Linked DNA regions of Mus musculus: regions 1, 2 and 4 are each reported to be linked to region 3. The links are microRNA targets in miRTarBase. Many come from high-throughput screens and were not tested one by one. Region 3 holds a microRNA gene; each other region holds the end of a gene's coding sequence.
What was found. Region 3 holds the annotated microRNA mmu-miR-29a-3p (UAGCACCAUCUGAAAUCGGUUA, at 3,051-3,072, opposite strand). A microRNA usually pairs through its seed, bases 2 to 8, with sites in the 3' UTR of a target mRNA and lowers its output. Matches are read on the target gene's strand: a 7mer-m8 pairs with bases 2 to 8, a 7mer-A1 pairs with bases 2 to 7 and ends in A, and an 8mer does both.

Region 1: the mRNA of Tbx21 is a reported target of mmu-miR-29a-3p. Seed matches in the 3' UTR shown: 7mer-m8 at 5,803-5,809.
Region 2: the mRNA of Hdac4 is a reported target of mmu-miR-29a-3p. Seed matches in the 3' UTR shown: 7mer-m8 at 6,483-6,489 and 7mer-m8 at 6,172-6,178.
Region 4: miRTarBase lists Fbn1 as a target of mmu-miR-29a-3p. Seed matches in the 3' UTR shown: 8mer at 5,854-5,861 and 7mer-m8 at 5,605-5,611.

Annotation. Positions count from the first base shown.
Region 1 is chr11:97,092,745-97,099,864 of GRCm38, forward strand. Tbx21 (T-box 21) reads right to left here. Exons shown (of 6, transcript NM_019507.2): 5 at 7,026-7,087; 6 at 5,263-6,634. The coding sequence ends at 6,028. Among named protein-coding and RNA genes, the nearest start is that of Tbx21, 19 kb to the right of the region's middle.
Region 2 is chr1:91,926,775-91,933,894 of GRCm38, forward strand. Hdac4 (histone deacetylase 4) reads right to left here. Exons shown (of 27, transcript NM_207225.2): 26 at 6,882-7,023; 27 at 2,005-6,612. The coding sequence ends at 6,573. Among named protein-coding and RNA genes, the nearest start is that of Gm46242, 51 kb to the left of the region's middle.
Region 3 is chr6:31,059,623-31,066,742 of GRCm38, forward strand. It overlaps Mir29a (microRNA 29a), which reads right to left and starts at 3,125; the gene lies at 3,038-3,125. It overlaps Mir29b-1 (microRNA 29b-1), which reads right to left and starts at 3,471; the gene lies at 3,401-3,471.
Region 4 is chr2:125,295,320-125,302,439 of GRCm38, forward strand. Fbn1 (fibrillin 1) reads right to left here. Exons shown (of 66, transcript NM_007993.2): 66 at 5,275-6,656. The coding sequence ends at 6,267. Among named protein-coding and RNA genes, the nearest start is that of Dut, 51 kb to the left of the region's middle.

The DNA of each region.
Region 1 (7,120 bases), not on the chromosome of region 3:
AGTAGATGATCAGAAGTCTGAATTCAGACATGACAAGATGCTCATGTCTGCTTCTCACGCTGAGCGCCCAGAGCCGTCTCACCAGCATCCCCACCTAGAAGCAGAGAGTCCTTCTCTGGAGAGGAGGAGAAAGGCAGGACTTGGGAGCCTAAAGGTAGTAAGAGCGGTTTGGCAAAATGGAAAAAAGAAAATCAAAGTCACACTTGTCATGGAGGGTCAAGAGAGATGGCTCAGTGAGTAAGAGCCCTTGTCATACAAGGTGATACACCTTTGTTTATGTCCCCGGCACTCATGGAGAAGCTTGGCACGCAGTTCACACACCTGTAATCCCTGTGCTCCCAGGAGATGATAGATGAAGACAGGAGAATCCCTAAAAGCTCACAAGCCAGCAATTTATACACACGGTAGAAAAATAATAGAGTCTCAAACAAGGTGGGAGGGGAGGGCTGATACCCAAGGATGTCCCCTGACCTCAGTGCACATGCCATAGCACATGCACGTGCACACACTCACATACACACGTGTGCATGCATGCACACACACACCATAAACACATAGAAATTGGGGGTGAAAAAAGTGACCTTCCATTTTTTCCATTCTCCTGCCCCACTCACAGGGCGCTGTCAGCTGCTGGGGGCTTTCCTGTGGAGAATGGATCCTCTCAGGAGGGGTCTCTCCGTGCACTCATATTGCAGGGGATGCCAACTCTCAAGTTTGCGTTAGGAAACAAGCTCTTTGGGAGGGGCTGTGCCTTACTGCAGCACGGATCTATTCCCATAGTGTAAATATTCCCACTATGGGCGATGTCAAGCTACCAACCTGATGCCACCGGATGCCGTGAGGGAAAGCTATACTTGTTCTGTTTCAACTTAAGAGAGAATGGACAGATTCATAGAAAGGAGCCGAGATGAGGTCACCCTTCACAACAGCTTCATGACATGGGGCCCTGAGAAGTGACAGTGGCCTCATTAGGAGAGATACTCACCATGTCTAGTATGATGGGGCATGAAGGGACATGAAGGCTCACTCAGACCCTTGAGCTCACAGACTATCAGTTACACTATCACAGCCATAATGGATCCTTAAAGGTGGAAAGAGGAGAGGTATTCCTTCAAATGCAGATGAAGAGAGCAGTTTCTGACACTTACAGGTTTTCAGTGGGCAAGCTTCATATTACATGGTCTAACCTTGCCTACCTGTCAAGGGGCACAGAAAAGGCACTAGATAGGACTATAAGGTGGAACTGTAAGACCACAGTCCAGTATTTCTCATCAACTCTGTCCCAGAGAGAGAGAGAGAGAGAGAGAGAGAGAGAGAGAGAGAGAGAGAGAGGAGAGAGAGAGAGAAAGAGAGAGAGAGAGAGAGAGAGGAGAGAGAGAGAGAAAGAGAGAGAGAGAGAGAGAAAGAGAGAAAGGGAGGGAGGGTGAAGCTGGGCTGGCTTTTCCCTCAGAGTTAAGGACTCTTAACAGGTATGGCTGGCACCTGTTAGTTCTTTGTCTTAAGGAACAGATTGCATGCGAGTGTGGCCTGAGGGTCTTTTGTTGTTGTTGTTCTTTAAGACAGGGTTTCTCTAATATATAGCCCTAGCTGTCCTGAAACTCACTTATGTAGACCAGGCTGGTCTTGAACTCACAGAGAGCCAACTGCCTCTGGGATTAAAGGTGCCACCGCATTCAATACATTCAGGCTTCATAAGCTAATCAAGGTCAGATCCAGCACCCCACTGCCAGCTTCTCTGCAGGGTCACCCTCCTGGATCACCCTATGGGAAGCCCGTGAGAGATAGCCACTTCTCCTATACACCCAAGTGCTCTTAAAGGGACTACCAGAGCCTTGCTATTAAATGTGAGTTGATAAGGATCACCCAGTATTTAAGACTTCAATGTGAAAGAGAATCCAGAGCCCTGATTCTCCACCTTCCTAATGCTGCAACTCTTTAGTAGAATTCCTCATGCTGTGGTGAGAACTGCCCCCCCCACACAAAATCATCTTGTTGCTTCATGACTATAACTTTGAATTGCAATGTAATCATCAGTGCTTTGGAAGGGGGGTCGAGACCCACAGGTTGAGAACCCCTGGTTTAACATCGATGAGACTGGAAATGTAGCTCTCTGGTGGAGTGCCTGCCTAGCACACCTGAGGCCCTGGGTTTGAGCCTCAGTAACATCCACCCACATGCACATACCCACTCCCAGCCTGCCACAGGACTTCAAACCAACATGTGCCATTCAATATTCAGAACACAGAAGATGAAAGAAACACCTAAATTTAAAGTGGATGATCATGAATCAAAATAGCATCATAATTCCAAAGAGAGATGGTATCGACTAAAACATAGTGGAGAAATGCCTTAGGAGTTTGTGGTGTGGAGCTAGATAGGTCAGTGGGTTAAAGCACTGGTTGCTCTTCTGGAGAGTCCTAGGTTCAATTCCCAACACCCACATGGTGGCTCACAACCCTCTGAAATTCCAGTCTCAGGGCATCTGACACCCTCTTCTGACCTCTGTGGGCATCAGGCACTCTACCCAAGTGTACAGCCATAGATGCAGGCAAAACACTAATCCGTATAAAAATGAGCAAGTAAATGAATACAAAAGAATTTAATGCACTGGAAAGATGGCTTAGTGGTTAAGAGCACTGGTTGCTCCTGCAGAGGGCCCAGGTTCAATTCCCAGCATCCACATAGTGGCTCACAACTATCTATAACTCTAGCTCAAAAAACCTTTCTTAACCTTACAGCGTTCCTTTCAAAGACTATTTTTTTTCTTTTCTTTTTTTTTAAAATATTTATTTATTTATTTATTATATGTAAGTATACTGTAGCTGTCTTCAGACACTCCAGAAGAGAGCATCAGATTTTGTCATGGATGGTTGTGAGCCACCATGTGGTTGCTGGGATTTGAACTCAGGACCTTTGGAAGAGCAGTCGGTGCTCTTAACCGCTGAGCCATCTCTCCAGCCCTATTTTTTTTTCTTTTCTTCATTTCAGGGGTGTCTGTGCAAAGAATAGTTCTGCTAGTGAGGAAACTTTTATCACCAACCCACAATTCTCTTATTTCAGCTGGGTTCTGAGAGGTTTGTGTGTGTGTGTACGTGTGTGTGTGTGTGTGTGTGTGTGTGTGTGTGTGTGTTTTGCTTATTTGTATTATTAATCTACAAATTAAAATACAACCATTTTCATTAAGACAAAACATGATTTCTGTAGGGTCACAATTTTATAAACCATTTCTGTTTGTCTAACCCATTGAATGGTAATGTCAGTTATTCAAGTGTAGCAAAATTTGATATCATTTGCAGTTGTCCTTATTCTTTTCCTCACTATAGGGTCTCACTGTGCAGCCTGGGTTGGTCTCCAACTGTCTGCCTTCCTGTCTCAGTCACCCGAGTGCTGAGTTTGCAGGCACTTGCCACCTCAACTGGCTTGAATTGTTTTGTTTTTTTTTTAATTTTAGGGTGTGGAGCAGTGGCTCATCAGTTGAGAGCATCTGATGATGTCACAGAGGGCCTGAGTTTGGTTCCCACCAAACCATCACTGATCTGGAGGCTCAAAACCACATCTGACTCCAGCTTCAGGGAATCTGATACCCACTTCTGGTTTCCATGGCACCCACACAAATATACACATACACAGCTGGGTGTGGTGGGGCACATCTTTGATCCCAGCTCTCAGGAAGCAGAGGCAGGTGGATCTCTGTAAGTTTGAGGCCAGCCTGGTCTATGTTGTAAGGCCAACCTGGAAATCAGAACAATCTTTTGAGGTTGGTTCTCTTCTTGCCAAGTTAAAACTGTTCTCTTCCCCACTGTTTTCCTACTGTCCTACTGTGCCAGTCATCTGGTAAGCTGCCAAGACACCCTCCTGTCTCTGCCTCCCATCTCTTAGGAGCTCTGGGATGGCAGATGTGTGCTACCAGATTCAGCTGTTGCATGAATTCAAGGCATCAAGCTTGGGTGGTCAGTCTGTGCATGCAGCTAGCCATTTACCCCTGACTCAAATTCTCTCTCTCTCTCTCTCTCTCTCTCTCTCTCTCTCTCTCTCTCTCTCTCTCTCAGAAACAGAGAGCTAGAAAGCTGGGCATGGTGGTTTGTGTCTGTAATCCTAGCTCTTGGGAGGATGAGACGGGAGGATCACCGTGAATTGGAAGCCAGCCTGGGTTACAACATAATCTTTAAGCTGTTTGTAGACACAGTTCCAAAGGCAGCAGAGAACTTCCGTGCTCTGAGCTCTGTCTGGAGAGATAGGATTTGGGTGTAAGGGTTCCTACTCTCACACAGTAATTCTAGGATTCATGTGCCAAGGTGGTGATGTCACACACCACCGTGGCACTGGCGGCAGGTCCATCTACAGGGAGAAGTTGGAGCATGAGAACTTCATCCTGAAGCGCCCTGGTCATTGGCATCTTGTCCATGCAAATGCTGGACCAAACATTAATGCTTCCCACTGGTTTTTCACCTGCATTGCCAAGACTGAGGGGAAGGGGAGAGAAGGCATGAACATCGTGGAAGCCATGGAGTGTTTGGGGGTCCAGGAATGGCAAAACCAGGAGGAAAATAAGATCCCCACTTCCAACCATGGACAACTCTAATTCTTTTGACTTTCGAGCATCTTACCCACCAGACCATTCCTTCTGTAGCTCAGGAAAGCACCCCCACGTCATCTGCTCGCAACACCCTGTAATCTCTGCTCTCACTGAAGTGCCTGGGGTCCCATATTTCCCTTCTTCCCCTCCAAGTCTAGCTGGATTTCAGAGTTAAGTTTATGGTTATGAATGAAAACTAAATAAGAGGGGTGGGGGGAAAAGAGAGAGGAGAGCTCCCACACTGAGGACTTCATCAAGCGCTAATCCTGCCCGAGTGTGTACTAAGGTGACTCATGTGGAATTGCTAGTGTATGCCTGATCGTGACCTACAAAAGAGTGGCAACATCACATGGTATAATTTCTACTTATGCCTTTAACACTTGAACAAACTCCTAAAAAATGGAGAGTGATGCAAAGATAAATCAAGAGTCCTGGCTTTCCTAAACTCCACCCGACCCAGCCTGGTCCTAACCTTGCTCCCACACTGCCTCCCTCCAGGGTTCTGAGCAGGCAACATAGGCTGAGGGGCTCTTTGGTCACAATACACCTTTGGTCACATGTGGTGGCATGAACCATCAGCTGGAGTGCTGAGGACAAGACATACTCTGAGTTTATCCCTAAGTGGGGTCACTTTAGGTTCCTGGCAGTTACCCCCCAAAATCAAGAGCCCACAGGACAACTTTGCTAGATCAGCAAACTTTGATCCACACACACACACCTCCTACCGACCAGCCACAGAAGGAGGGCGTGTTTACCAGGTCCATGTTTATTTCCAGAAAGTGATGCAAAACAGAAGAAATACATCCAGACACCACTCTCTACAATAAATAGCCTCCCCCCTCCCGAAGAAATAAAAAAGAGACACCCGTGTGTGTACACACCGGTTCAAAGTGACCTCGCCTGGTGAAATGTGCACCCTTCAAACCCTTCCTCTGCACCCACCCTCTCTTGTCTCCTCGCAGGTGGCCCAGTCCGCCCGCAGTCACCTGAGTCTTCTCTGTTTGGCTGGCTGTTGTAAAAATGCGTGTATCTTCACTTTCAGGTCAGAGATTAACACAGGTGTCAGACCAACAGTTGAAAGTTACTGACTGGACAGGGGAAGAGAGCAGCTCTCCTGGACTCCCCACCCCGACCCCTCCACCTCGCAGAAAGCCATGAAGTCCCTCTGGGTCCAAAACTCTCTGGAGTCCATTCTCCGTTCTCCATGGAACCATGGGGTCAGAAGCAGCACCAGGTTCGTGACTGTAGTTCGGGCAGAGAAAGGGGCAGGGGACACTCCTGTCGTATTTCCTTGTGGGCCAGGAAACAAGAAGTAAACCCCAGAATCCTTCTTGCCCCGCTTCCTCTCCAACCAATCACTATACAGGGAAGGGATGGGGAAGAGCTCGGGGCTCTCAGCCCCGCGTCTGTTTTCTAAGTTAGTGGGCACCTTCCAATTCAGCGGCATTTTCTCAGTTGGGAAAATAATTATAAAACTGGCCTTCGGTTTCCTTATCAAAAGGAGAAGGGGCCCCAGCGGGAGAGGAGCTGTCGCCACTGGAAGGATAGGGGGATATCCTCCTCCTCTTAGTGTCTCCTTCGCCTAGTCCTGAGTCGCTGGGCTCCGGCTGGAGGGAGGTGACCTCAGGCCACAGCGAGGGGGAGGAGCCCTGTTCCTCTGAGGATCCCAGGCCCGGGTCCATGGGCAGAGTTCGCATGGGCCGGAACCAGCCAGCTGGGCTCATCTTGGGCGGGTATTGAGGGGCCACGGGCCAACCAGCTCCAGGCGCCAGGACGTCTTGGCCCCGGTAGTAGGGCACAGTGGGCCCCGGGGCAGAGGGTAGGAGTGTGGGCTTCATGCTCACAGCTCGGAACTCCGCTTCATAACTGTGTTCCCGAGGTGTCCCCAGCCAGTAAGGCTGTGAGATCATATCCTTGGGCTGGCCTGGAAGGTCGGGGTAGAAACGGCTGGGAACAGGATACTGGTTGGATAGAAGAGGTGAGAAGGGGTCTCCCCCAAGCAGTTGACAGTTGGGTCCAGGTGGCGAGGGGACACTCGTATCAACAGATGCGTACATGCTAAAAAATAAATAAAAATAAAAACAATGAATGAGGGGGCTAGAGAGATGGCTCAGCAGTTAAGAGCACTGGCTGCTTGCTCTTCCAGAGGTCCTGAGTTCAATTCCCAACAACCACATGGTGGCTCACAGCCGTCTGTAATGAGATCCAATGCCCTCTTCTGGTGTGTCTGAAGACAGCTACTGTGTACTCGTATAAATAAAATAAATACAGAGAGACAGAGACAGAGAGAGACAGAGAGAGACAGAGAGAGAGAAAGAGAGATCAAGGCTATATTAGGCTTCTAATATGATGGTCCCCAGACCCCTGAAGCAGAGACAGGGCATGTTGAGCACTGAACCACAGTCCCATCTCAGAAAGACCAAAGGGGATTTGAACTCAGAACACTTACGACTCAAAGTTCTCCCGGAATCCTTTGGCAAAGGGGTTGTTGTCGATTTTCAGCTGAGTGATCTAGAGACGGGGAAATAGAGTTCTCTGAGTCCC
Region 2 (7,120 bases), not on the chromosome of region 3:
ACAGGGTCCCAACAGTACACAGCTACCCAGTGAGAGGAGAGGGAGTGTATGCTGGGTACAGGGGCTCAGACAGCCCACAGCTGCCCTGTAGGGCAGATGAAGACATAATCTAAGGAGCCCAGGGAGGGCCTCCCTTTCTAGGTTTGCATTCCCCAGGATTCTGGGGGGGTGGGGGGGGATGGCTTGAGGGTCCGGCATTCATGAGTAGCATGGCCTCAATTCATCTTCCTGTGGGTCAGGGCTTGGGGACTCGGGTGGGGGTGAGGCAAATGGATGAGGCTCATTCTGGAAACCATCCCTTGGTGGTGCTGGAGTAATATTGGTCTCCCTTTCTGGGCAGTGGGTGGTGTGCATGCAGCCTGTTCTTGCTGTGGTACTTTATAGACCTCAGATTGGCCTGACGCCAGCAGTCAGGTCTCTCACAGCATATCTCCTGTCCTGGTTTCAGGCCTCTCCTCTCACACAGGGGTGTGGCTGTGATGGAAACCCCTGGGATCATTCCCCCATCTGACCTGCTTGGGCCATATTGCGGAACCCTGCCATTTGGGGTAAATACAACTCCTAGGCATCTCGTCTCAGCCTTGCTCTGTCCAGTGTTCCACTTCCAACTCCCACACAGTCGGACATGGTTGGACTCTTGTCCTAGCATCCACGGAGAGAAGACTCACACTCACTCACAACTGCTACCCCGGCAGGGTGTGGCTGTCTTGGGTTCCAGGTAACCACTCACTTTGATGCTTGGAATGAGTGTCCTCATCTAGAACCTTAGGACAGCTCACGGTACCTGTCCCACAGTCTTATTGGCCATTTTGCATTCTTGTCTCAAAATTACCTATCTTTTGGTCATTGTGGTCGTATGTCTTAGCAGTAGTGACAGCAACCCCACCTCCATCACCAACCTTGGGTTTATTTCGCTCAGGCTACACATGATGAAGGGAACTGATTAGTCAGTCAAGGTTCTTTGGCCTCGCTGCTGCTCCTGCCTGGCCAGTCTAGGGGAGCTGCTACTTAGGGGCCAGGCCGTGTGGCAGTGAGAGTGAATGGGAGGGGGGATCAAGGGGCAGAAGAATGCCTTTTACATTATCTGGACTGCTGTCTTGAGTGATCTGAGGTTGTTAATAACGGGCAGGAAGTGGAGCTTTAGTAGAACACACGTTAGGAGCCAGCCCTCTCCTAAGTGGACAGTTTAGCAAGAGCTTTCAGCAGTCCTAACAGTTCTTGGAACTACTGAAACAAATCTTCCAGCTTCATGACTTCATGCTCCCCAGTGAGGCTTTGATGGGGCTTGGTCCTGACTGAGCGAGGTTTAACATAGGCTGTTATGGTGAATCGTTCTGAACATTCTCCAAGTTCCTTCTTATCCAATTGGAGGTAAAGGCTTCCAAGAATTCATAGCTGGCATGCATTTGGCTCTTAATCAAAATGAAAAAAAAAAAAAGTGCAGACCAGGAAGTATCTGAAATTTATTAGGACAAGCTCTCAAGTCTACCAAGGGGATGCCGTCTCCCAGGTTGCTTTGCTGTAGGCACCATGAGAGTCAGGAAAGGTCTGCCAACCCAAGGAGTGTATGAGACGGCACCCCTTTCGAGCCTTCAGAGAAGGCTGACACACGGCCTTAGGAGACCTGAAGCCAGGGACATCCACGCCCTGCCTGTAACTTATAACAGTACAAACTACAGCTCAGAAATTACAGCTAAGTTTTTTCTGACCGGCTGGTGTGTGTCTGATGGCAGACCATGCTCCCCTGGAAACCAAACCCTCCGAGCGCACCTGGACCGGTGGGAGTCGGGATTCCTTGTTAGTGGTGGGGACTGGCAGCTTTCATATCTGCTCTGAGTGCTTAGCTGGGAAAAGTCTGAGAGGCTGCTGGAGTTCAATCCAAGTGACGGGGCCCAATGATTCCCCAGGGCATGGGAGGTCAGTGCCCAGTGTCCTGGGCGCGCGGGCACCCACAATCCCCCCCCCCCCCAAGCTGGGGGAAAGAACACAAGGAGGTAGCAGAGATGGGAGGGCAATTAACGCAGTCTTTATTTACACCACGAGAGCGACAAGTGTGTGATGTGGTACAAACACTGGACCCGGGAGGTGGAAAGAGGTGACCGCCAGAGGACACCGCCGGTCAGTGAACCCACCACACAAAACAAAAACAAGAATGAGAAAACCAAACATGACTCCCAACCCCGCCAAGAGGAGAAAGCGCCGCGGAGGGGAGGTCCAGACAATCAAAGAGAAAACAGGCTGTTACAGAGTGAAGGCGGTCGTGGCTGTGGAGCACACACAGCTTCATGTCACAGCGCTCCGGTGGCGGCTTTGACCACACTTCTGTAGTGAGCTCTTGCTGAATGAGGTCAGCCTCCTGCGCATATATGGAAACAGCATGTTTAACATTCTTACAGATTGGGAAATGGCATCTCCTCAGTGGAGTGCACAACCCTGAACAAGCCTGTCTGCATTCTTCTCTTCCATAGGAGACTCTGATCAACGTGAGGCCGGTGAGGCCACCAAGGCCGGGTGCAGAGCACGCCCGGATCCTTGAGAGGGAGAAATAGTTTCCTCCAGTGCCAAGTGTCGCTGAGACCTAGGGCTCACAAAGGCCTGGACTGCCCAACTCGGAAACCCAGCCCCCGCCCGTGTCTTCCTGAAGGAAGGAACCCATCAGCACAGTTGTGCTGAGACGGGGACTCACCAGAACCTCAGGTTCTCGACCAGAGGCTGGTGACAGCAGGCAGGGTGCACCTGGCCCTGTGTGGGGAGAGAAAAGGAGAAAACCAACAAAACAAAAGAAAATGCCCCTAGCCAGCTTGCCAGACAGGCAGTAGGGTGTGAATGTGGGGCTTGCACATGGATACAATCGACTCTCTATCGGTATGTCAAAGGTGCTAGGTAAACTTTTCTTAATGACAAGTGTGTAAGTAGTCCTTTTTTCTTACAATAAAAAGTACAGTTTCTTAAGAATAAGTTCAATAAGACTCAAACTCCCCCCTCTTCTCCTTCAAGGTTTTGTTTTACAGAAAAAATTCTGCATCTGCAAACATCATGAGAGGGGAAAGAAAGGCATTGTTTCTCCTTCCCCAAAGCTGCCGAGTTTGGCGTGCAAAATCTGTATACAATATAAAGACATGCCGGCGTACGTCCATGCAACCTCCAGGTGTAGGAAACTTAAAAAAATATATTTATATATTTATATCTATATATTTATATATGTATCAATGCCCATAAAATACATGGGCCCAAAGTCTACAAAAAGAAGGATGGAATGAGCACGTGGCTGTGACCAGTGAAGAAGGAATGTTCTGAGGAAAGAAACACAACCAAGTCTATCACCAGTGCTGTGGAGACCACTGCAGGATGGTCCTTCCTCTTGGGGACAGATTCGAAAGTAAAGAAAAACTGAAACACTTTGATAAAGCGGCCCTCAAGCCAGAGCCCTGGGATGTCCCAGTGGGTAGTGGCCTTGGAACGGCCGCCTGCTGGTGGAGCGTGGGCTCTCAGGGTGCAGGTGGAAGACCCAAGGTGAGTGGACACCGGCATCCTGAGGACACGGTGCTTTGGGCTTCCCTTAAAGGGATGTAAAGTGCTTGCTCCCAGCTCCCTTCCCAGCACCCACCAAGGCCTCTGCAAAAGAAGGGAGAAGGTGGAAGGTTCAAGGTCCAGGCAGGGGAGTGCTGTGGTCCTGCCCTGGAGGTCAAGGCTGACCTTCTGCCCTCTGCCCTGGGTGATGACTGTGGGGAAGGGCCACATGTGTCTTCAAAGGGAAGAAAAGGCTATATGGTAGGTAATGCTTTCAGCTCACAGGGAAGCTGGAGTGAGTTGGCTCCCTGGCCAGGCCCCTGCATCAAAGGGTGACTGAATAGGACCAAAGTGAGTCCCTCTCACAGTACCCTGGCCACTGAGTGGCCTGTTACCCCTCACCTGAAAAAGTAAGATGAGGTGCACCTCCCACGAGTCGTGGCTGGCACAAGAGGGCAGGTGGCAGGGTTTGCAGTAAATGGGCCAAGGCGGCCAGAAGAGCAGCTAGCTGGCCTCTGTCGCCATGCAGTGACAAGCAAGGGAGAGGTTGCATGGGCTCCCTCAAGTCTGCTCCTTCTCCAAGGGCCAGAGCAGCCACAGGGAGGGCAAAGTCAGTGACGTCCTAAGACCTCTCCACCCTCTGTCTTAGCTCAGCACTCACAGCAGCCCAGCCATCAAAAGTCCAAGAATGTGTGCTCAGCCTGTCTGTCAAAAGCTTGACCCAGTTCCCATCTACCCTGTAAATGCCACCAAATTCAGAAGCTTAGCTTGATGTCCCTTCTGAGTATCTCAACTTCCTCTCACCAGTCTGAACTCCACATACTTTGGAAAGAAACTGGCGGCTTTAAGTGCTAGAAAAGAAGTTAGCAGTTAAAAAGTTAGTTGTCATAAGAAAAAAAAAAAAAAAGAGCAAAGACAAAGACTGGCTGTCCCTCAGGACCCTGTGTATTCCTGCAGGACAAGGACAAAGGCCTTGGTTCAGCGGCCACAGGCTACAAACCCAGGGCTATGGCTCTAGCCAGAGTCCAGGTTATGAGGCCGCAATGGAAATTCCTGAACAGGTGCAGGGCCAGAGCCTCAAAGGTCTTTGGGAAACTCGAGCTGGGGTTCTATCCTGATGGAGTGGTTACAAGTCCACATTCACTAATGCCAACCACCCTCACGGCTCACGAGGCCTGCCCGCCCTGTAATACTAGCGGTGTTGCAGGGCAGAAGCCCCTGGCTGTGCTGCTCCCGGGTGAGCTGGACAAGACCAGGGTGCCACGCAGACCTGCTGCCCAATCTCGAGAGGTTTGCTCTAAAAAAACCAAGCATGATAGCAGCGCTCTTGCTCAAAGCAGAACCCTGCTTGCTGTACAAAAAGAAACAAAATCAAACCATAAAAATAACCTTCAGAGCTAAAAAAAATGTACAAGTAAGAATTTAGAAAGAAAAAGTTTCAGACATTACCACCTTCAGAAAACTGCTGAATGGTAAGGGAAAAATGTAAAATACACAAAATAATGTTTTCTTCAGGATCTTTTTTGTGAAAAATTCATACAAAAATCAACAGCAAGTTTATATCTTTTGCTATAAAAACTCATCAGGTACATATGTGCATGGAGTCTTGGCGAGGGCAGAGGTTCTGTTAGAAAATAATTAAAATTAAAGTACAAACTGGTAGGGAAGTTGCCCAGGGGTGAACATGCTGGCAATCTGGAAGCTGGCCAATCTGGAGCTCAAAAACCCTTGGGCTTCAATCCAGACCCCAGCCCTCAGCACCTCAGAGCTAACACACGTCTTTCACCTGCCAGGACCTCTGCGGTCTGGATTTATTATATATATTTATATATACTTTGTCTATAAATGCATTATAAATATTTTATCAAGATCTCATAAGAATCAAGTTTCTTAGCTTGGAATACAGTGGAATATATATTATACATATATATATTTATTTATACCTAAAATTTAAGCAATACTTCATGCTACCTGCTTTTAATGAAAAGCATTCCGATCGTAACACTGCAGTGTGCCTACGACATGCTTCACAACCGAATGGAGATGCTCAACTGCTAAGTGACGGATGAGGAAAGAAGACTTTGGATCCGTTTAAAATGTGTTAGACTTTAAAACTGCTGGCGGCGTTCGCTGCTTTTTGGAACTACCTCATCTTCCTTAAATGGCGATCAAACCAAGCAAGGCTGGCTGTACTTCGGCCCTCGGGGACAGTGGCTGGTGCCCACTCTTGTAATGCCAGGCTCAGCCAGCCACAGGACACTGTCACACCAATTCTCAGTGGTGTTTTGTTTTTGTTTGTTTTTTTCTTAAGGCATTGTTCCTCAGACTTCAGAAAACCCAGCCACAAAAACTTCCATCAGAGCAATAAAAAAGGCACAAACTCGCATCTTCCGGTGGCGTCGAGAAGCTCCAGCTGATTCCCAGGCTCACATTTCTGTTCTGTCCAGTTTTTTTTTTTTTTTTTTTTTTTTTCGTTTAAACTTTCTTCCAACTCTGTCCCTCACTAAGCTGTGAACCCCCACAGCACCCCACTAAGGTTCACAAGGCAGGCCAGAGCCATAGAAAATGGTTTTGTTTTCGTTTAAAAAAAAAAAAAAGCTACAAGATGAGTTGAGTGGTTTACACGGAGACTGTGGGATTGTGGGTAAGAATCAAATGTTAAGCACCAGTTTTAATCAAGTTTGTTCTGTATTATTAGATCTTTGATTTTCATTTTCCTCATGTCAACTTGATTCAGCAACTCTGCCCAAGTTGCCACAAGCTTCTTCCTTCGAGGCTTCCCAGGGGGAGGGGGAGCCACCAGCGTGTGCTTGGCTTCCACATGTCTGTGTGCCCGTGTGTTGCGCGCTGTCCTGTGTTCCATGTGATCTGCCACACCCGGTGTTCCGTGTGCGTCTCCAGACCTGTGGTCCAGGGCGGCAGAAAGGCTTCCCGTTGCTGCTGCACGCCTGCTGTCCCTTTGTACTCAAGAGAGCACCAAGGCAGGACGCAGGAGTGATACGGGTAAGTTTCTTGGCTGAGCTTCAAGACAGACAAACAAAGGAGAGAACAGCAGCTTCGGGCTACAGTGGTGGTTCCTCCTCCATGGGCTCCTCCTCAGATCTGTAGAGGAGAAAGGGGGTCGGGCAGGGTGCACAGTGGGTGAGGGAGGCCCTGTGCAATCAGGTTCCCTTTCTCACAGAGTTGTCAAAATCCCTGCTCCACCAAAGTGCAAGCTCTTTCCTGATAGACAGGATTGGTTTGTCGAGTCAGTGGGCATGCCACCATCTACCCTGTCCCTAAAGGGCAAGCCTGACACAAAGAAGACTCTGTCAGGTCCTCATGCACAGGTGTACTCAGCAGGCCTTTGGGACGGAATGGACAGGACTCACCTCTTCTCAGCAGGTTTGACGCCTACAGACAGCGAGGCCATGGCGGTGACTGTCTCAGCTTCTTCCTTCTCACACTTTTGCGCCTCAATCAGAGAGTGCCCCACCGTGGAGGACAGACGCTGCAGGCAGCGCCAGTACTTGCCTGGGGGAGAGGGAAACACTCAGTGACTCCCCACTTCTGCAGGTTAATGGGAGACTCACTTGTGTCTGAAAAGCGCCTTTCTGAAGAGTGCTGGCTG
Region 3 (7,120 bases):
GCCTGAATACGCAAAGCACCTGAAGACAACGGCAGGGGAGAGAAAACTCAAACACAGGTAAGAAATCAACAGCCTGAAACAGCTGTGAATCCTCACCCCAGGGAAGAATGGCATTCAAGACCTACCTTTCAGATACTGAAGTCCATTAGCAGACATGCTCACTCACTGTGATGTTTAGAAGACATGGTGGGAGTTCTTCCAGAAAGCAGAACAAAGAGACAGAAAGGAGACAGGGAGCGGTAAGGCAAGCCATGCGGTGAGTGGCAAAGGTGAAGGCCAGAGGATTAAGAAGGCAGGGACTTTGTTGTCCACAATGACAGCAATGTCAAATGCCCTGCCCAGGGAGTGAAGACAGCTCTCCCAAGGCCCAGGACCAACCACTGAAGAACACAGACTACAGGGTTAACCAAGTCTCCTACTTCCAGAGCAAAGGGCCTATTGATTAGCTCTGCATTCTACTTCAATCCTGCATACTAGAGAATGAAAGTCTGAAGGATTTTCTTTTTCTAACCAGACATTCCATACCAAAAATTGTACCCTGCCCCCCGGCCCCCCCAAAAAAGTTCCACCAGTCTTCCCCAGATGACTACCGAAGGATGTGTGTGCTTCTTTAACACACACACACACAGAACGAACACATATACAGACTCTCAGACAGGAGCTGGCTGACAGACTCTCAGACAGGAGCTGGCTGACAGACTCTCAGACAGGAGCTGGCTGAGAGGATTAAAGAGATGAGGACCTGGAATGTATTTAGCCCAGGAAGGAAGCAAGGGAACCAGAGAGCTGAGAAAGGCACTCACCCAGACCAGTGTGGGAGGAAGCTGGGCTCCGAGAAACCAAAGCCTGTCCCAGCACGCTGGGAGGGAAGCTGAAAGCTCCACAGTCGCTATGAGGAGTGCATGGGAAAGTTCAGGGAAACAACGTTTAAAATGATAGTTACTCATCTCAGAATTTAATAAGGTTTCTGAAGGAATGTGAATCTGTATGGGTGGGCTACAAAAAAATCCCTCTCTATATTACCAATATTCCCCATTACCAACACTAGTTCTTCTATGTGCATGTGTGTACTCATGTGCACCTCAGGTTCTTCATGACAGCTGTCTACCTGGCCTTTTGCGGCCGGGTTGTTCACTAGTCCTTGACTTCACCTGGGCTGTAATTGGATTGTGAGGGTCAATGGAACGGCTGCTTTAAGGGGGAATGAGGGTTGTTAAAGTTAAATCCTCACATGGGGGAGGGAGCAGGGAAGAAAGTCAGAATGAAAGAAGAGCAGCGCAACGCTTTAAATGTAGGCAGTCAGAAGACACAGATAAAAGTTGAGGATACAGCTAATGGGAAAATATAGGTGCGGCAGTGGACAGCTACTTATTGCTATAGGGCTCAGTGCTAATCCAGTGCAGTCTGTGGATATATAACACATGAATCATATTAGAAGATTAAACTTAAAAACAAAACAGAACAGGACAATTTAAATGCCAAACTGGTAAGTATATAAGCAAGATGTGGCATGCCCACACAGTGAAATATTATTTAGTCATGAAAAGGGAACCGAGTTTGGATGAACGCACCGTGAGAGAACCATGAAAACGTCCCATTAAGTGAACTAAGCTGGATGGAGAATTTCACAGAGGGTGTGATTCTGTGAAATGTTCAGAACATGTAAATCTACAGAGAACAGATTTCACTCAGAGACAGGAAGTACATAATGAGTAAGGAATGCCTGGATTCAGGTTTTCTTTCGAGGTGAGGAGAACTAGACCTTGCTGATCTGTACAACTCCATGAAAGCTTTGCTCAAGAGCCTTTGTGTTATATACTCTAAAATGGTTCAAACGCTCCACTTCGGGTTTTCTGTAGCTGTGTCACTTTGTTCCTATTCTGTATCTGTGGTATACTCCCTCTTCATTTCAGTTCAACCCAAGCTGTTCAGTCTCAGCAGCAAACGCATTCTTCTGCTTTACGAGGCCGTGATGCTGACTTGGACAATGCGTAATGCGGGAGTAACTGAGGCTACACGCGATCCCATTCGGCTCAACAGGAACGAGCTATGAACGAAGGTCGGGATGCAGCAGGGTTAGGAATTACTTACACACGCAGCGCTTCAGCAATACTAACAGCCCGCTTGCCTTTTCATTCTGAAACACAAGCACAGAAAACTTGGATTTGGGGTTCTGGGCAGCGAGGTCTACTGCAGGAGTTCCGTTTTGTTTACCAAGGAAAAACTGTACAATCTATCTCGCCTAACCTTTTAGATCTAGCCAAAGCTTAGTCATTTGTATGATTCATCTGATTTTCCTTATTTATAAGTCTAGTTAAAGTTCAACCAGGAGGAAATGTAGCCTTAAGCACCACTTGGAAAGGCTACAAATACCACAGGCTAGGTGTGTCCAACCTGTGGCCCATGCCACCCCACCCCACCCCCTTCCCCTCAGGATAGCTATGAATGCTGTCCAACACATCACAAGTGTACTTAAAACCCACGAAATTATCTTTTGCAATCCCATTGTATTCTCTAATGTTAACTTTGTTGATGACAACATCGCATTGCAATGTAAATGGTTGGACACATCTACCAGACATGAGTTTGTCACACTTATTTTTATGCCTATTACTTGAGTCCCAGACACAGGTCCAGTTATCTGAACCATCTGTTACATCTAACTTATAGCTCTCCTGGTCTGGACAGCTAACCATGCAATGGCCAGTGGTCAGGCAGGCTAGGTGACTATCCCTATGTGAGCTGTTAGAACCTTATAGAAGTAAATATCCCCTGCTCCTCTCACATTGACTGGTCAGTCATTGGTTTGGCCCTTTATCCTCTAGTTACCGTCAAATCTGCAACCCATACACACTTTCTAAAACACACCCACCATCACTATGTGAATAGTTAACCATGCTGTTGCTGGGGCACGTGTTAATGAAAGTCAAGTTTAAGATAGGAAGAAAATGTACCTTAGCATGTTTTGGTATTTGTTTCTTAATTCTTACCTGTGGCTCCAACGTCAGCAATAACGTAGTCAGCTGAACGGTGCTCTTCCCCAATCATTATAACCGATTTCAGATGGTGCTAGAAAATTCTATTGACTCTGAACACCAAAAGAAATCAGTCATCCTCTAAGGGGTCACAAGAGGTCATGTGCACTGGGAAGGCCCAGGCCTTCAATCTGTCGTATATGTAGGTCTTCATCCGAGCATGGTGGAGTCCACTTCCAGAGAAGGCTTATTACATGAACAAGTATGCAATTCTAACGGTGGTTGACTAATCAGCTATCCATAACACAGAGGTAAGCAGGGTGGGCGAGGGCAGGCTCTGGTAGCCTGTTTTAGACACTGGACACTTACTTCAGGGCTGTACACTCATTTCTTTGTGCGGTCGGCAGCGAAGTAGTTCTCCACCAAGAACACTGATTTCAAATGGTGCTAGACAATCACTATTTAAATCTAAACCACCATATGAAACCAGCTTCCTGAAGAAGCTTTGTCGTCTGTTTTTGTGGCCTTCCTACGGAGAGGGAAGGTGAAGTCCGTGCAATAGTTCCTAATTTCAGGCGATCCTATGCTGACCTCATCTAGCAGGTGGGGGTGGGGGTGTGACATGTCGGTCACTCATGGCATTCTTCCCTCCAAATGGTAACTGAGCCCTCACCCGAGAGCAGACGTGGGACAGTGAGCACGAGGCTTACACATTCACGGTGCAGCGTGGCAGAGCTCAGCACACTTTTGATAAGCGTGACACTTTTTACTTCCAGATCGATCTGTTAGAGTCGACAAGTGAGCACAATTTGGGATCCTCTCAAAGGCAAAGCAACACACTGATGCTAATGAGACCCTGCCCCCTTTTGCCAGACTGCAGTAGTGAGTTCAGGTCTTTTGCTAACTCAATTCTCCTCCAGAAGTGAAGCTTTGAATCTTCGGTATCTGACAGATTATCACTATCATCAGTACTGCTGCTACTGCTACTACTATTACAGTTTTAAACAGGGTCTCACTATGTAGCCCTGGCTGTCCTCGTAACTCAGAGAGGCCCTGCTTCTGCTTCCTGAGTGCTGAGACTTTCTGGCTTCTTTCTTGTCTCCCTTCCATTAGCTCTTGACATGTGGTCTTGCTAGGCCAGGCCGTTTGCCGTCACTCTTTTGAATGTGTCAGGGACTCCAATAACTACACATCCACGGCCTTAAAAAAAAAAAAAACTATTTAGAAACATTTCAGATATTAGAATGTTAATGTCCTTTTTAAGAATACCTTTTTAAAAAGTTGTATGTTAAATTTCTTTTTAAAATATTTTTTTCAAATGTACTGACATTAAAATGATTATTAACATTTTCTCCCCCTTTATCCCTTCCTGCTCATTCTCAAATCCATGGCCTCTTTTTAATTGCTGTTACACACACACATTCTCCTAAGTACGTGACTACAGCCGGCTTAGTCCATGTAATTTCAGGGCTCACTACATGGCATTAACTTTCAATGATAATCAAACAAATTCCTGTATTTGTGCCTTCTGAATTAACAACTGAGCGTTTTTTGCTTTAGATATATAATCTACATTATTACCTATCCCTGGCATATGTGGTTCTTACTGAATTGTTTGAAAGCAAAGAGAAGATCAGCCAGGTGCTCTGCTCTCAGCTGCTGGGGCACAGCACTGTTTAAGAAATACTGAGATAAAAAATTAAAAAAAAAAAAGGAGAACATTTTTCTTTATAATTACAGTAAGCTGTCCTACCCGAGGAAACAAACAATTCCCTGGGACTGTGAAGTAGCCAGTGTGCATGGGACTTCACCTACTTTCTCAAAAGACAGTCTTATAGCTTTGCTTTTTACACTCAGATCTCATCAAGGCTGCGGGACCCCTCCTTGGTCCAGCACCACGAGGTGCCAGGCTACAGACTGGGAATCTATTTCAAAAAATAATAAAACATACCTAAATATTTTTTAAATGAAAGAAATAAACCTTTGACTAGTTTAAGAAAACCTTTCTTTCTCAAAATAAATAAATAAATAAAATAAAATAAAATAAAATAAAAACAGCACCAAACCGAAAGAAAATGTTCACTAAAGGTAGGCCTGAAAGGCCCTACGTCTAGAATATGTAAACCATTGGGGGCTGGAGAATGAGCTCGGTCATTAAGAGCACTTTTCTGAGTTCAGTTCCCAGCACACAGGCTGGCTTACAACTCCAGCCGAAGGGGATGTGATGCCCTCTTTGGCTTCGGTGGGCACCCATACACATGTGCACACATATGATAAAAACATGCATGCATGAACAAGCACACATTCATGCATACATGTACACACAGAGCTCTTCAGTCTGAATCCCAGTTTTCATGTAATTTCAGCAAGTCCCAGCTCCCTAGGAACAGGCTCACCATGAGAATAGTCTTGAAGTTAACAAAGAAACTCTCTATTATTGGCTGGCAGAGGGGTGGACAAGCCAGGGCCCTCTTCCCTCAGGACATGCATACAAGTGCGGACTCTGGGGCCTTCCATGGCCCTCAGCTACAAGCACAGCCCTCCCAAGAGGAACAGCTTCACTCACAAGTGTGCCCGTGCTTCCCTTCTCCCTTTAATGGACACACAACCTCATTACCCTTTAGTCTGGGGCTAGGGCATAAAAGAACTATTGTTTCTGTAGGCTGGGTTACTGTTATTTTTTAACTAGCAACAACTCTGCAGTATTACAACTCCTGAAAGGACAAAAATAAGAAACCTTACAATACACAGATCACACGCTGGGCTGGCAGACTCTTCACCCTATGAGTAGAAACAGTTATCTTCCAAGGATAGACCCCTAAGCAGCTCTCAGCTCACCAGCCATGAAAATGTGGGCCTGCTTCACAACCCAGCCTGCATGCTTCATGCTGCTCTTCAACGCACTGCCCTTCCTGTGCACTTCTGTCAAATCTGATAGGGAAATCGGGGCCTGGTCTGAGTCAGTAACCCACAGCAGGGCTCTGTGTGGAAAGGCCCTGCAGTAGATGCGTATTGCTCCCAGTGACGTGAGAAGCCAGTCTGTTCTTGTGTTGAGCAAACTGGATTAAGATAACTTCCCTCGGGGCTTGGAGATTTCACAAGAACTATCACATCCTGAACCAGCACCCCTTGAGGAACACAGCTTCAAAACGTTAGGGCCACCAGGACTCGGCAGGCCTAACCGGTGTGTCTGGGCCAGGCCACACGTGTCACTGCAGTAGCTGTGCTCACACATCTGGAAGCCGTACCCAGAAGAGCCGAGCTTTGTAAGGGTTAAATCAGGTAGTACATGAGATGATCGAACGAGCAATACGGAACTTTCCTTTGGCATTTTAGTAGAGGGATGCAGCTAAGAGGTCCAGCTCACAAGTGAGAGGCATACACGGATGTGTCAAAAAAAGATACCTTTGCCTTGTGCCTCCCATCTCCGCACACTTGAATGAGCACCTGCAAATATATTCTGATTACTTCTCCATTCAAGGGCCTCCACGCGGGACCTGTGCTGTCGCTGGTGAGCACAGGTTTCTGTAGGTCTTCCCTGGTTGTGAACTGGCAGCTGGGTGTGTAAGAGTGGCTATCAAACTCCGATGGTCACTTAAAAACTCACTGGAGACTCACCGTGGACAAAATACAGCAAGACCTCTTTAAGGGTGATTTGCAAGCATGCACCTCAACTTCTACAGGGCCACAAAGACAACCTGCTACAAGCATTTTCCAGGGACAGACACGCTGCAGAGAGCCTTCGTGAGAGGAGCAGTATGTGGTATTTCGGTGACACACGAACCTCAGGGTGTATCCCACGGACGTGGGGTTCTCTACTCAGACACTTTCAAAAGGTCCCTTCTCTCTGCTGTCCAGTGAGAGACATTTATTACTTCCTTCCGCAGGCACTGCTGTGGATTGGCTACCTGCATTTGGCGACACTGGGGTGGTTATGACTAAGGAGCACGGCCCTTGGCCTTCCACTTGGCACAGCAGCGAGGTGTACTGTGCAAGCTGGTGTAGGAGCTGCAGCATGCTATAAACCTGTAGATCCAACCAGAGCAAGAATGAAGGTGTCTTGCACAGGGTAGGAGAAGGTCTATTTTCAAGGGGAATTGGTAAGCCCTAAGGCTTTAGCAATGCAGGCTGCAGAAGGCCCACAG
Region 4 (7,120 bases), not on the chromosome of region 3:
AAGCAGGCACTCATTAAACATTTACTCTTTATCACCGGCTGGTTAAGGACACACACAAAATTGAAAATAGAACTCTCTTTGGGGATTTATTTCATGCATGTAATAGCATTTAAAGGTGCTTGGGATGGGTATTTCTGTATTGTGTCGTTTTAGTCATCTATAGCAGCATGATTGAGTGTTCTACCTCAATGCATACACAAACGTTCCTTTCCCGGCTCTCAGTTGGCAATGGCAGCCTCCTTTTCTGTACTTCTTGATTTGCTTTGTATTTTTATATGTGGTTTGCTGAATCAGAAAACTTCCTGGGAGGCATATTAAAGTTTACATTTTATAATAGAATGCATTGCCAAACCATTCTGTAATTTATACATTTCAAGATGGAACCACTGGGGCCAGGATGGGTGGTAACCTGGCCTGTGTCCCATCGTGCAACTTGTACGTTCTAAGTGGAAGCTGGTGGCTGAGAAAGAAAGCATTAGCTTTCTCTCTAGAGAACTGCCCACTTTGAAGAAACTGCATGGTATTTCTAAGGTTCATATTTTAGAAGGTTTCTTTGATATTTTTGCTATGGACAGACTTCATGTTGAAGATGTTGGCTTCATGCAAATAAACCAGTATGGAGATAAGACTTTCTCACAGTGGCAAGTATGAGAGGAAGCTTGGAGTTGGTTAGAGTCCAGCAATGTCTACAAAAACTCACTGCTGCCTGCGAGTTGTCAGCTGGTGCCACATAAGTCCAGTGAAGTTACAGGACAGGAGATGTCACATTTTACTATGTGATAACGTGAAGTCCCATAGATTACAGTGATAGTGGAAAAGGGGGGCATATGAGTTACCCAGAACAGTATTCCCTTGACTGCCAGATTCTCATTAAGGCTCTAAGTCTTCAGAGTAGGTTTTCAGTCAGGGCTGCACACTTAAGTCACCTAGAAAACTCCTAAGACTGGTCATGGCTGGACTACAGACCCAGACTCTGAATTAGTGGGTTAGGGATACAACCTAGATCCAGAGATCCCTTTTAAAGAGCCATGGTGGTTCTTATGTGCAGCCAAGGTAGAAATCCATTAGTGTGTGGATTCTTCCTGGTAAAAAGGTAGAGATGTGTGTATGCCTTTATTAGAATAATCAACAATATGTATCAAAATGTTTCCAGATAAAATTTGTATCAAATTCCCAGACTTTCAGAGGCTTAAGGCAATGAACTTGGTTTCTTGTGGGAAGGACTGCATGTTTTTATTCATTGTTTTCAAACAGACATGGAAAGAATATATGTCATTTACTCTAAGATCCTCTTGGTAAGTGTCTTGGCACATAGCCCCAAACCTTCTGTTGACCTCTGGTCTTCCGGTGGGTTCTGAAGAAAGAAGCAGAGTTGGTGACTATCTATTTAGTTTCTGCTACAGATCAATGATGTGGAAATATTTAAAACACTTTTCAATTGCTATCTATAAACCCCTAGATTAAGGCCATGTCTTAGTGTTTCAATATCAATGTTCAATATTAGTCTTATATATCAATTTCGTCCTATGCTTACAGAGGCAATAATATTCTAAAGGACATTTTGGTTATAATTTTAGCAGGAACTGACAGGATCCAATTTTACAAACAAACTCACAGCTTTCTGTGCAGATCACCACAGTATTATGTGGGGGAGATAGGGAAGAACGGGTCTGTGATTTTGGTGATTATCGATGTGCAAGGTGAATGTGCTATGGCCTCTTGCATGTTGTCTCCGAGGGCTGTGAAACTGAGATTTATAACACAGACTCTTTAGGTCTCAAATGTTATGTGTAATTTCTACCTTGACAGATTTCTACATTGCACCAACATACCTTGCGTTAGTCATTCACCCTTTGTCTCCAGCAGTGATTGGGTGCGTGCTACACTGTTGAAGATAAAGAAGGGTGTTTGAGTCTCATCTCAACCTCTGTGCGGTCAGAGACCTTTGGCAAGACCCTCAGACTTGTGTACCAGTAAATATCCAAGCAGAGATGGGAATCAGAGAAGCATAGATTACAGGGCTTAAATTAAGGAAAAAAATATGTATAGGGGGTAATAAATATGTCAGATAATACAAAGAGGGTGATGCAGTTACCACTAGTTACCAGACTCAGAAACACAAAGGAGTCGCTCCCAGCCCTCGCAGTGGGTCAAATAACTCTCAGTGTACTTTCTTTGTAGGTCAAAAAATCATGGTCTCTGGGGAGAAAGTCTTGTCAATGATCAATGGAGAGCATTGAGAATGGTGGGCGGGGCTTCCTGTTTCTTCCAGTAGGTGTGAGGTCTGTATGTCTGTGTGTCTGTGTGGGTGGACAGCAGATGGAACCTGGAGACATTGTTTCCTGGGATGTTGTAGCACAGACTTTGGCTTCATCTAGGAATTCATGATGCCTGCAAATGACCCTGGAGCAGTCAGCCCACAAGAACACAGGAAGCAGCAGGCCAGAAAGAGGTCTGTCCCCTGTTGGTGTCTGCAGCCCTGAGGCTTGATCTTGGGACCACCCGAGAGAGGCACAGAACACATCCAAAAAGGATGGTCTCGATGTGGTGGAAAACAGAAAGGTATAGAAAAGCCCCTCAATGCTGGGTTTGTGTGGTTAGGAAAACACCCAGTTCTGACAAATTAAGATCCCATTAATCCTTTCTGACAGCTTTGGCTTTCTTTTCCAGGGTTCAGCTCACCATGTAGACACAACTCCACCAGTCTGTGACCCCTTTCTGTCAGTGTCTGGGGGGGGTGGATGTTTTCAAATATCTCCATTTCCAGGCCCCAAAAGTTTCACCGTTTATGTTCAACTTAATTCTCCCCAAGCGAGTATTTTAGGGTGAAGAGGAACCGGATCTCTTCATAGCTCTGCAACTCCCAGCACAGCTGCAAGGACTAGGTCAGGTGGGGATGGAAGTCAGGCAGGAAGTGCTGAGTGAGGACGCCCTGCCAAATGCCCCACCTCTGCGCTACTTAACCTTGAACCCGAGTTCTTGTCTGGATTGGAGAAATACTGAGAAGCCTTGGTGACTTCTAGCTGACACTGTAACCAATCCCAGGGGTCAAAGAAGAATCCAGGGTGCTGAATACTTTTTTGAAATATGAATAGTCACAGGGGTCAAAAATAATAATGGCTAATGAGCCAGCATGAATCACAACTTACCTGCTAGCACTGGATTCAACTGGCAGAGAGGATACACCTTCCACTTGCCAACAATCGAGTGGCCCTTCCATGCATGTGCAAGGGTTGAGGGTGCAAACAGCTCACTCTCTAAAAGGATGGCATGCCTTTTTTTTTTTTTTTTAAAGAAAAAGAAATTGGATTCATTAGCAGTTAGTTGAAATAACAGATTTGGCAGTGTTGCCAGGTCCTGAGGTGTCAAATGTCCCAAACACATGCCTATGAGGATGTGTGTCTGAAAGTCAATCTTTCTAGTGGTATTGATCTCCTACCCTTTAAAAACAATGTCCTTAAGCCAGTGAATAACCGTGTTTCTAATATGTCTCTAAAAACTACAGTTGAAGTTCGAATAAAGTCCATGGTTGTGGACAAAGCTGACCTGTTATTTGAAAATCCCAGCTGTTTATAGGTATGGACATATTTATATTATCAACCCAATTATCCTTTTTTTTTTTTTTTGGCCCATCTCATTTACAAGCATGATTTCTGAAGTGAAACAGTATTTGTAATGGCAGCATCCAAAGCAATTTTGGCTGAGTAAAGTACAATTTGTTGCACAAAAATGTAGCTGTTTATGCAAGTTTAAAACACTTCACAAGGGCAGCTGAGTTCACTTGAATGCTACTTACAGAATAATTATTGGCAAATGAAATGGGCTGTGGGGGAGATGGGGTATTTTCAAGCTTCTGCATGGTTTAAAGCGCAAACTCTTTGACTATCACAAGTAAAATGGAAAGGTATAGGACAATTGAAAGGTGCAGGTCGAAAGCCCGGGAGAGGAAGGGGTTTCACAAGAGAATATTTACAGTGGAACAATGAGGCAAACGTTGTGTTACCGTCAGAAACATGGAAAATATGCTGTTCAACACTGCTGGCTCTGGGATAAATAAAATCCAGATTTAGACTATTAGAAATATCAAAGTGGTCTATCATGTGCCAACTCCATTTTCTTCTGTTGTTTGTCATAAAGACAGTCTATTATTGAATGAACTATAGCTCTGGTTATATTATCAAAGGCGGTTTCCTTATGAAATCCACAGTTTGCCAGATGTGGTCAATCCTTCCCTAGCACTTCCATCACTAGGTGAGAGGTGCAGCATTGAAGGAGACTCTGGGGTGTATTTCAACCTCCAGCTTAAGACACCAATTCCTCGCATCCTTGCCTCATCTCTGCTGAGCAACAACTGTGGCCAACATTCTTCTGGCTGGCAAAACCAGAGATTAAAAAACAAACCCAGAAATCAAAACCCAGACAAACCAACCAACAAACAAAAACAAGAGACTCTTTAGGGTATCCACAGGCATTAAATGGATACCGGTGCCCTGTCTAACCTAGCTGAACTCAGCAGACTGCAAGGAAGCCCATCCTCACCATAGGTAGCCTTCTCATTAAGGAGGTATGTGTTAAACTGAGCCTTACAGCACTTGACACTAGTTGTGTCTTCTGGGAAAGCATCGCTCATAGCCTACTCCACTGGCTCTAGCATACAGCTCCCATGGCTTTGAGAGGACTTTCCCATGTCTTGGAAAATTCCACTCTCGACCTCCCTTCATGTAACAAAATTAATTCATCTTATTTTCACTACCACAGTTTTGCTGGCCTGGGGGAGTTGTTTTTTTTTTTTTTTTTTTTTTTTTCTTCTATTAACTAAATGAGCTTAACAGTTAAATATTGAATGTTGCATTTAAAATAAACCACCATTTTTCAAGTTAGGACATTTGAAAACCAAGAGATGCAACATTCAGTTGGATTCAATTCAATCAGCTCTCTGTAATTAGTCTAGCACTGACCAACAACAGATGTTCAGGGGAAAGGATGGAACACCTTGCCAATGCTGTGTACGTGAGGGGAAGGAGCATGAAGTTCAGCTCGAAGAGAATGACTGGATTTTATATCTGGGAGTTCTTAAATCTGGGAGTTTAAAAGCCCCAGGACTAACTAGGTCACATTTTAGAAATGATGCTGTAATCTAAGTGTTTTCCTAGGAAAGTCAGATAACAAACATCAGCAATCGGTACCACCGTGAAGGGACTAACTGAAGATGTGATTTCTTCTCCTGGTGCTTACATCACACATACACAGAAGCCACAGATAACAAAGCAGGGATACTTTAAACCCAGGAGACTTTATTTCACCTCCAGAAAGGCCCCTCCAGCCTTAATCCACACAAGAACATAAAACCAAGGTGTAAACTAAAATGGGGAGGGAGGGGAGGATCACTTTATTGTGACATCATGACATTAACCCCTTGTTGACAGGAATGACTGAGAGTGATTTTGGCGTATTGCACATGCTGTGTGATGGAGGATGCGGTGGTGATCCTCTGGTGGCTGAGGCTGCTTCCTTGTCCTCCCCAACCTCAGTGCACAAGTGGGCCAGTCTCAGAGAATCCACTACCATTTGGTGTAGATGTTTAACAAGTCTTTGGTCTTAATAAGCACCATTACAAACCCTCACATTAAGGGCTTTATTATTGTAGTTTATAAATGTTTCAATGATAAAAATAGCACGTTACAGTGTACACACACTTAATTTACATGTACTGCACCATACTCATAAGTGAGATAAGCTACTGAACTAACTTTGGTTGATTGAAATGAAGTATTTGAACTGAGTACTTGGCAATTTGGTTCCTAACTCGTGTCTTTATTACAGTGCATCAATAAATCTATTTTGAGAATTTACTAGCACCAAACAGACAACAGAAACCTACTGCTTGCACTCGGAGAAGCAAAGTTTCAAGATCTGAAGACCAACGCGGAACAGTCCATCAGATGGAAGCGCGTTCCTGTGCGGAGGCTGGGAAGATAGCCCATCGGCGTGAATGGCCAACCTCAGCGGATATTCATGTCCCAGTTTTCAGGAATCAATACGCATGACAGGGTAGCTGAGCTACTCACGAGAAGCCTGAGAAAGTGGTTGGTTGAACTAGGATCATCACTGTACCTGGGTGTTGCCATTCAAGAGTGGTGCTCATTTATACAGATCGACTCGGTGAACAATTGTACCATGATGTGAAGGTTCTGGCTTGGGGAAAATATAATTCTACCTGCCTAAGGTTGCTTTTTCATTTAATTATTTGGTCTCTGGATGGTGAATTAATGCAGCAAGATCTGAATTTTCATCTTCAGGTTATCGCCCAGTTCACCACTGAGGTAGTCTTTGTCATATCTGTCTTCTAACTGGTTAAGTTCTTTCTTTTTATAAAGTGGGGTGCTGCTGATTTGTAAGGAGTAGGTCCCAGCCACCGGCTTCTTCTTCGTGAAGTGGAGGTAGCTGACCCCTTCTTTCTGGTTGATTTTAAAGAAGCCATCTTCATTTCCAGATTCAATCAAGTATCTGTTGTGGTTCATCAGAGTTGTGAGGGCCGGCAGGAGCTCTAGGATTCGGACCTTGTTATTGACATGGGAAATATTGAAAGCAAAGCTAGCCGGCTTCTCCACATCCCAGCTGGCGAGGCTCACGTTGGCTTCCATCTCAGACCCGTCCTAGAAAGACACATGGAAATGGGTTAAATCCCACTAAGTATTCTCATGCTAAAGAAAAAGCCACTCAAGTCTCAAGCCAAACACAGTTTTCTGCTCATGCAGTATGTTAAACTGAAAAGGCAAAGCTAGTAGGCACTTTGCCTAAGCCACAGATGTATTCTCAAAAATATAAATAGATGGCAGGAAGCCAGGTTGTACTGGAGCAGAGTCTCTCAGTAGGTCTCAAAGTGTGGTCCCTGAACCAGCAGCCTGGCATGCCTGGAAACCATTAGACATGCAAATTCCTGTCACCTCCCAGACCCCTGGGATTAGAATTCCTGGGGCTTTTCCCAGCACACCATTCTAACAAGCCTACCAGGTGACTCAGACGCAGTGATTTTTTTTTTTAAAGCTTGCTTCATAGGTTTGTTTTCTTTTCAAAGACTTATCTCCTTTCCCAAACCACAGCAGGTGGGTTGTAGGAC